Cricetulus griseus: one gene and its partner. The protein of the gene in region 1 binds, or shares a complex with, the protein of each later gene. Links are inferred from orthologs where the notes say so. Each region holds a gene or a part of one and is shown on either strand. Other genes may lie near its edges.

The links. Proteins that work in one complex are often made in the same cells at the same time.
Region 2: the proteins of Elane (region 1) and Slpi are in contact, whole or in part, in a crystal structure (PDB 2Z7F), measured with the Homo sapiens proteins. The link is inferred for Cricetulus griseus from reciprocal best matches to the Homo sapiens genes ELANE and SLPI. Residues at the interface, in NP_001963.1 of Homo sapiens: His53, Phe54, Cys55, His70, Cys71, Asn74, Val75, Pro111, Val112, Asn113, Leu114, Leu158, Ile165, Leu180, Arg182, Val197, Cys198, Phe199, Gly200, Asp201, Ser202, Ala216, Ser217, Phe218, Val219, Arg220, Gly221; in NP_003055.1 of Homo sapiens: Tyr93, Gly94, Gln95, Cys96, Leu97, Met98, Leu99, Pro102, Phe104, Met121, Cys122.

What each region holds. Positions count from the first base shown.
Region 1 is NC_048598.1:100,685,267-100,688,926, forward strand, and holds Elane (neutrophil elastase), read left to right. Parts: upstream 1-1,168; coding exon 1,169-1,232; intron 1,233-1,497; coding exon 1,498-1,654; intron 1,655-1,761; coding exon 1,762-1,903; intron 1,904-2,504; coding exon 2,505-2,738; intron 2,739-2,857; coding exon 2,858-3,058; 3' UTR 3,059-3,106; downstream 3,107-3,660. UniProt on the Homo sapiens protein: Serine protease that modifies the functions of natural killer cells, monocytes and granulocytes. Inhibits C5a-dependent neutrophil enzyme release and chemotaxis. Promotes cleavage of GSDMB, thereby inhibiting pyroptosis. Promotes blood coagulation.
Region 2 is NC_048599.1:15,125,607-15,129,608, forward strand, and holds Slpi (antileukoproteinase), read left to right. Parts: upstream 1-1,183; 5' UTR 1,184-1,529; coding exon 1,530-1,653; intron 1,654-2,246; coding exon 2,247-2,408; intron 2,409-2,867; coding exon 2,868-3,016; 3' UTR 3,017-3,017; intron 3,018-3,574; 3' UTR 3,575-3,790; downstream 3,791-4,002.

The DNA of each region.
Region 1 (3,660 bases):
CCCCCATGCCCTGTCCTGGAGTTGGGACGTTGGTTTTGCAACAGCTTTGGCTGCAGCTCCTGGAAGAGATGGGAGGGGAGCTGGCCACAGAGTAGGGGGGCTGGGCCCTGGGTCCTGTCTCCATTGTTGGAGGAGAGCATTCCCCCTGTGTGGTTCCAAATTGGAACCCACACTCTGGCCACTGTCAAGGGCAGCAACTCCTTCTCATGGGTGCCCAGGCATTAATGGGGTCAGGTGGGACTGTGTTCCCCATTGTGAGGAGCAATCATCAAATTAGGGGCTAAGGTGCTACAGTGTGCACCCCAAGTTTAAATGACCTGTTGTGCTGGGCATGGTGGCCCATACCTTTAGTCCCAGTGCTGAGGATGCAGAGGCAGGTGGATCTCTGTGAGTTCCAGCCAGCCTGGTCTACAGAGTGAGACTTTGTCTCAAACATACACACATTCACCTGTCACTGGGTGTGTAGAGCCTCCATGTCCCTCAAGTTTTCTGACTTAATTAAGAATCCAGCTATCCATTCTCTGTCACCCCAAGAAAAAGTCATGCTGACACCGAGCCTTTGACAACGCAATGCATTATGTATTGCTGTTATTACCATGCTTAGGTAAATAAGCTGAGGCTGAGGGATTGGCTGGGCCTCAGGGCACCAAACTGGGCCTGGAGATGCACATCTGTTATCCCAGCACTCAGGAGGTGGAGGCAGGGGAATTAAGAGTTTGAGGCCAGCCTGGACTATTTGAGATCCTATTTTATTTTATTTTTGGTTTTTTAGAGACAGGGATTCTCTGTGTCACCTTGGATGTCGTGGATCTCTGTGGACCAGGCTGGTCTTGAACTCACAGAGATCTGCCTTCCTCTACCTCCTGAGTGCTGGGATTAAAGGTGTGAGCCACCTTTGCCCAGCCCTGAGGTCCTGTTTTTTAAAAAAAAAAAAAAAAAGAGAGAGAAAAAAGATGGCTTGCTCAGTTGTCACTGATATTCAGCAGCGTGTATGAAGTTGAGTGGAGACCCTGGGGGGGGCACGCCTCTCCATGCCACCCACATTGTCCTGTCCTCAGGGAGGAAGTGGGGCTGTGACCGGCATGGGGCAATACAACGGCCTCTGGCTGCAGCTATAAGTATGGCTGTTAGGTAGGGCTGTGGAGAGCCACCAGAGCATAGCCCCACCATGACCCCCAGCCCATCATCCAGCCGGCTTCCTGCTTCCATGCTGCTGGCCTTGCTCCTGGGTGGTGAGTGAGGATGGCCACACTGACCTTTGTCATCTCCATTGTCTTTCCTAATTCTCCCAGGGCTTTAGAAAAAGACATGGAATTTTGCAGTGCCCAGAACACTGTAAGGAAAGAAGGGAGGTGCTTGGATCTTCAGTACAGGAGTACCTTGGGCAGGTTCTTGTTCCTCTCTGCCTCAGTTTCCCTCATCAACATTGTGAGTTCTCATTGGGGGTTCAAACAACTTGGTGGCTGGGGCTCATTCTTCCTCCCCGTGTGTCCCTAGGCCCGGTGCTGGCCTCAGAGATTGTGGGTGGCCGGCCAGCCCAGGCACATGCTTGGCCCTTCATGGTGTCCCTGCAGCGGCGTGGAGGTCACTTCTGTGGTGCCACGCTCATCGCCAGGAACTTCCTCATGTCAGCAGCCCACTGTGTGAATGGCCTGTGAGTCCCCTCTTCGTCCCTCTCAATCCTCAGTGTCCACATGGGCCAGACCAGAGAGGTCAGGTGGGGGCTCCCACTCATACTCCTCCCCTCTCCGCTGTCCACAGAAACATCCGGTCAGTGCAGGCAGTGCTGGGAGCTCACAACCTGCGGCGAAAGGAGCCCACTAGACAGATCTTCTCTGTGCAGCGGATCTTCGAGAATGGCTTTGACCCCACTCGTCTGGTGAACGACATTGTGATCATCCAGGTAGGCTTGGGAGTCCGGGAGCCTGAGACTCAGGTGCAAAGGTCTTGGAGTTCAGGCTTGAGAAAGGTGCAGTGCGGAAGGCTCTGGGAGTGGGGAATGGGGCACAGACACAGTGGGGCAACTTCAGTTATTGCCTCTGAGCCTGTTTCCCACTGAGCACAGTGGGAATAGCTGTCCTGTAGGCCTGATGGTGATGGCTCATAAGATCTAATATATGGAAAGTTCAGGGCAGTGTTCAACAAATTCCTGTTATTTGCGCTTCTCTGCTCACTGACTCTGTGACTCTGGGGTACCTGGGGGAAATATTCTTTTTTTGGTTTTTAGGGATAGGGTTTCTCTGTGTAGCTTTGGAGGCTGTCCTGGAACTCACTCTGGAGACCAGGCTGGCCTCGAACTCACAGAGATCTGAATGCCTCTGCCTCCCGAGTGCTGGGATTAAAGGTGTGCACCAGCAACACGCGGCTGGGGGAAATATTCATTTCTTCCTCCAGTTCCTAACCATCCCCACCACTTGGTGGCAGGGTACTAAGCCATTGTCTAAAGTGCCCTGCGACTTCTTCGTGTTCTAAGTCTCTCCCTTACTCACTGTCCCTCACCTCAGCTCAATGGCTCAGCCACCATTAACACCAACGTGCAGGTGGCCCAGCTGCCTGCCCAGGGCCGTGGCGTGGTTAATGGAACTCAATGCCTGGCCATGGGCTGGGGCAGGCTGGGCACGAACCGACCGGCACCCAATGTGCTCCAAGAGCTCAATGTGACCGTGGTGACAAATTTCTGCCGCAACCGTCTGAATGTATGCACGCTGGTGCCACAACGGAGAGCAGGCATCTGCTTTGTAAGTTCCCTTTTGCAGTAGAAGGGATTGTGGTCAGACCCAAGGGATGACTTCCCAGTGCTGGAGCATGAGTAAGGGGGTGCCGAGAGGGCCAGTCTCTGACCTTGACACCTCCTCAGGGGGATTCTGGAGGACCCTTGGTCTGTAACGGGCTTGTCCAAGGCATCGACTCCTTCATCCGCGGAGGCTGTGGGTCTGGATTTTTCCCAGATGCCTTCGCGCCTGTGGCTGAGTTTGCAGACTGGATCAATTCCATTATCCGAAGCCATGACAACCATCCCCATATCCACCCCAGAGACCCTGAGAGCAGCAATGACTAGGACCTGCCTGTCCTCCCAGTGCCGTCAACCTCAAGGGACAGCTCTCAATAAAAGCAGCATTTGCTTTGTTTGCTGGGTCTGGTGTCTGTTGTCAGTGCCACAGAATGTAGAGCAAAGCCACTATCTAATGTGAGGGGCACCTCCTGGGGACTTGGCTACCAAGCTAGGGCAAAGTCACAGCAGGAGACACGTTCCCCACGTTGTACAAAAAGAGATCAGTGAGATGGCCCTTTTGGGCTTCTGTCCCCTAAAACCCATGTTCAGTTAGGTCTCAGAACTAGGAGGCTGAGGCGGGAAGATTGTCATGAATTTAAGGACAGCCCAGGCAACGAGTGAGGCCCTGTCTCAGAAAACACAGAGGGGCTGGAGAGACAGTTCAGCAGTTAAGAGCATCTGCTGCTCCCAAAGGAGACCTCGGTTCCCGAGTGTGGCTCACAATTACCTATAGCTCCTGTTGCAGGGGGCTTGTCCTCTGGACTCTGGACACCAGGCATGCAATACACACCCCCATACACAGAACTAAGAATAATAAAAGTAAATCTACCAAATAAATAAGCTAGGACTGGTAAGGTGGTGCGGTGGGTGAAGGTGCTGGCCACGAA
Region 2 (4,002 bases), on another chromosome or scaffold:
CTGTGGAAGGGAGGAAATCTTATAGGGTCCCCACCCAGATGATGAGATGCAGGAAATTAATGAGAGATGAAGTTTTCCTCATGGGTGAGCCACCTAGCTGGCTATGCAATATTAAGTGGTCACCCATAAAATGTGTGCACATGAACAACACTAAATGTAGTTGGCAGGTTGTAATAATATATCTATTCATATACACACAGAACAGTAATAATTAAAGAACAAGAGGCCAATACCATCTGTTGGTGGTACACACCTTTATTCAAGCACTCAAGAGGCAGAGGCAGGCAGATCTCTTGGAGTTCAAGGTCATCCTGGTTTACAGGGTGAGTTCCAGGACAGCTAGAGCTAGCTGTTTTGATCCCCTACTCCCAATAAAGAAAAAGAAGCCAAGTTTGAGAGGGAGTTCAGGGTAGGGAAAACATTGGAGGAAGTAGAGGGAGGAGGGTAACTATACACACACACACACACACACACACACACACACGTATTTACAAACCAACATGTATGAAATTTAAAAACAAGATCATATGATGTTGAGGCAAGACTCGAACTTTGCAGGTAGGGAAGATTGGGTTGAATTGTACAGAGAAGGGTGGCTCTCTTAAGAATTAGACTCAATTTGGACACACTGGATTTTACACACAATGGGCTGAACACACAGCAGCCATAATTTTTTCTGACATTTGATGCCCATAGTGGATTTAGAGATAGAAAGAATTCCTTTAACAACAGAAATGATACCATAGCTCAGTGCTGATTACAGTGACGAGTGAGAGAATTTATCCCTTTGCTCCAATCCATCTCAATGGTCACTTGTAGCCAGGGATGCAGTTCATTAATTAAGTGTGATTTCAAACTCTTAATCTCAGGACCAGTCCTAAGTCATTTCATGCCTAGGAAACTGATCTCCAAAGAGATTTGCTGAGGGCCAATGCCCTTCTGCGTACAACCTTCATTTATTTAGAGATTGTATTCTGTGTTTCAGTCATGAAATAGGCACTGGGAAAACAGCGGTGCAAATCATTTGGCAGAGATAAATGTCAATTGGTTGAACCATGCGTCATCTGTATTTTGAGAAGAAATTTGCATTGAGCAATAGCTTAGAATTTCAAAATCCCAGAAAGTCCAGGAACTTGAGAAATAGAGGCACATTGCAGTCTCAGCTGAGAGTTCACTTCCTATGTTTCAGCATCAGGTCCTGGTGGCCCTTTTGTGACTGACCCTTACTACTCTTCTCTACCAGTAAGGGCTATAGGGTTTCAGATTTCACAATGCTCAGGGCACAGGTGGACATGTCCCTCTGAATGTCCCTCTGAGGACAACTTCCAAACTACTTCTTTCATTTTCAACTCTCTGGTAGTTACTCTGCTGGCCTCATGGTCCTGTCTGAAGCAGAAAGTCTACCATCTACTTCTGTAGTATCAAGACTTCTGTTCTCTGGCTAAAGCTTCCTGACTATGCAATAGCATGTGGGAGGGGCCAAATACACCCCACTGCAGCCACACCCTCTGGTAAAGATACAAATAGTGATGCTTGGGACTGCTCATCAGAGCCACTCTGCCTTCACCATGAAGTCCAGTACCTTCTTCCCTTTCATGGTGCTCCTTGCTCTGGGGATCCTGGCATCCTGGACTGTGGAAGGAGGCAAAAATGGTGAGTTGGGGTTATTTTGGCCTAGAATGTCAGAGGTGAGGGTTCCTGGTGGTTTTGGTGTCTTCCTTTCTCTAGGCTGTCCTCAGCTTACTCAGGACTTCCTGGTGGCATCCATGTCTTGCTGGGGTCAGAGGTTCCTATGAGGCTTCAAGGCATGGAAGAATGCTCCCTTGATTATTAAACCACCCTGTCAACCCAGGCCTCACTCTCTCTCTGTTCCTGTCCTTTCTGTTTCTGCCTCTGGCTTTAGTTCTCAACATCTCACAGGTTTGTTCCCTTCCTGTTTATTTCTCTTGTCTCCATTACTCCCACTCTCCCCTTCTGTCCTTGGTAATCTAGCTTAGCCATGAGGTGGAAAAACTTGATTGGGAACCCTGTGCCTTTTGTCCTCAGTCTGTGATGTTTTTCCTGTTTACATGTCTGGTTTGACCAAGCCTGTCATATTTGTTTGTTCCTTTTGCTTTCTTCTGCAGTTAATCCCCTTTGTAGTTGTGGGCTACTGGGATGAGGATTTACAGTTTGGAAAGTGGTCCTTTGTCTATGAATTGTGATAGTTGTTCCATGCTCTCCTAACATCATGACATCCTCTTTAGATGCTATCAAAAGTGGTGCCTGCCCTTCTAGAAGGCCTGTCAACTGCCTGAGGAAGGAGAAACCAGAGTGTGATTCTGACTGGCAATGCCCGGGAAATAAGAGGTGCTGCCAATTTAGGTGTGGTTTCAAATGCATTGATCCTCTTCCCATCCGCACTGCAGGTGAGCCAGCAGAGGACCCAGGAGCAGAGGAATGAACCTCAAGACCTAGCACTGAAGGGGATGGGATTTCGGGAAGGGGTCCTCCTAGGCATGCTTGCTTCTAAGAGTGGTTGAATCCAACATGGCATCAGTCAAGGCATCATGCTGCCATCAGCAGGAAAAGCCTCTTGTCTGAGGCAGCCATTCTGTAATGGTTTTGCAAAGAATCATCTGGGCATTCAGCTTGATGGAAGCCGTCAACCCTTTCAGTACCAGACAGCCGGCCACCTGCATTGTCTGGAGGCAGATGTTAGAGGGGAACCAGGTGTTGTTTCAGGGGACATATCTGGGAGTAGGTGATTGAGGTGAGGGGTAAATGGGGGTGATTTTCCTTGCTCAGGCTGAAGAAGGTGGGTTAAAGAAGCAGTGATGTGGTGGCTGAAGTCTAAGACATCTGACCTGTGCTTCTTCTGTCACCAGTGAGGTCGAAGCCTGGCAAGTGCCCAAAGATTCAAGGACAATGTTTGATGCTGAATCCTCCCAATAGGTGTAAGAGGGATGGCGAGTGTGCTGGCAACTATAAGTGTTGCCTGGGCATGTGTGGGAAACTCTGCCTTCTCCCACAGTAAGGTAAGGAGTCAGCTGGGGTGGACAGACTCATTGCTTTTCAGACCTTTTCAGCTTCAAGGCTCTGGAGGTCAGGGCTTATGGCAGGGAGACTGTAACCAACAGCCTCTGTCTGGCTTGTCCTTTAAGGGCGCTGTCCCCTATTTCTTAGGGCAAACACATAGGATTGTCTGTGGTTTTGAATCTACACAGTGTGTCTGGATAAGGGCCATGGGTGAATGACTTTCTGAGTCTCTATCTACAGAATGGAAATGCTGAATTTGAAAATGTTTTGTAAGGCACTGTATGCATTATTCATTGTCCAAGTTATTTGCTTTGTCGTGTCTAGGGTTAAAGCACAAAGCGTAGATATAATTAGAGGGATGTCTAGTTCAATGCTCTGAGTTTTGAATTTTACAATGAACGTGAGACTTGAACTTTTCTCCTGAAATCCACAATCCTCTCACCTCCAGTCCTGCTTTGTTGTTTGACCTCTCTCAGCTGACTTCCTTATGGAGGACCAGAGGGAAATGATTTGTTTGGCTTCTATGTTGAAGGTCTTATCTTATTTTCTCTTGTAGCCTGATCCCTGGCATTTCAGGCAGCTCTGAACCGTGCTGTGTGTGCTCTGGAACCTCCTTCTCTGCTCTCAGGTTCCCCAGCTCCCATCTTGGATCCAGTGGAGAGGGTTTGCTTCTGCCACCAACAGCTCCCTTTGGTACATGCTCAGCATTCAGGAGTCTTTAAGGCAATACCATCAGAGAGCAAATAAATAAACGCGTTTATGTCTCTAAGCACACCCTGCCTCTGTGAATCACTGAGGGGAAGGGTGTGGCAAGGGTCAATAAGGGAAGGTTTGGAGAAGAGGCTTCCTTCTACATTCATGGAATGAAATGGGAGGGTTTATGGTTTGGGAAGTTTAAAGTTACAGTATGAATCGAACAGTATTGACATTTGAAAACGTGACTTTACCTCCTAAAAATAATTTTTTTTTTGAAATCTGTGAAGT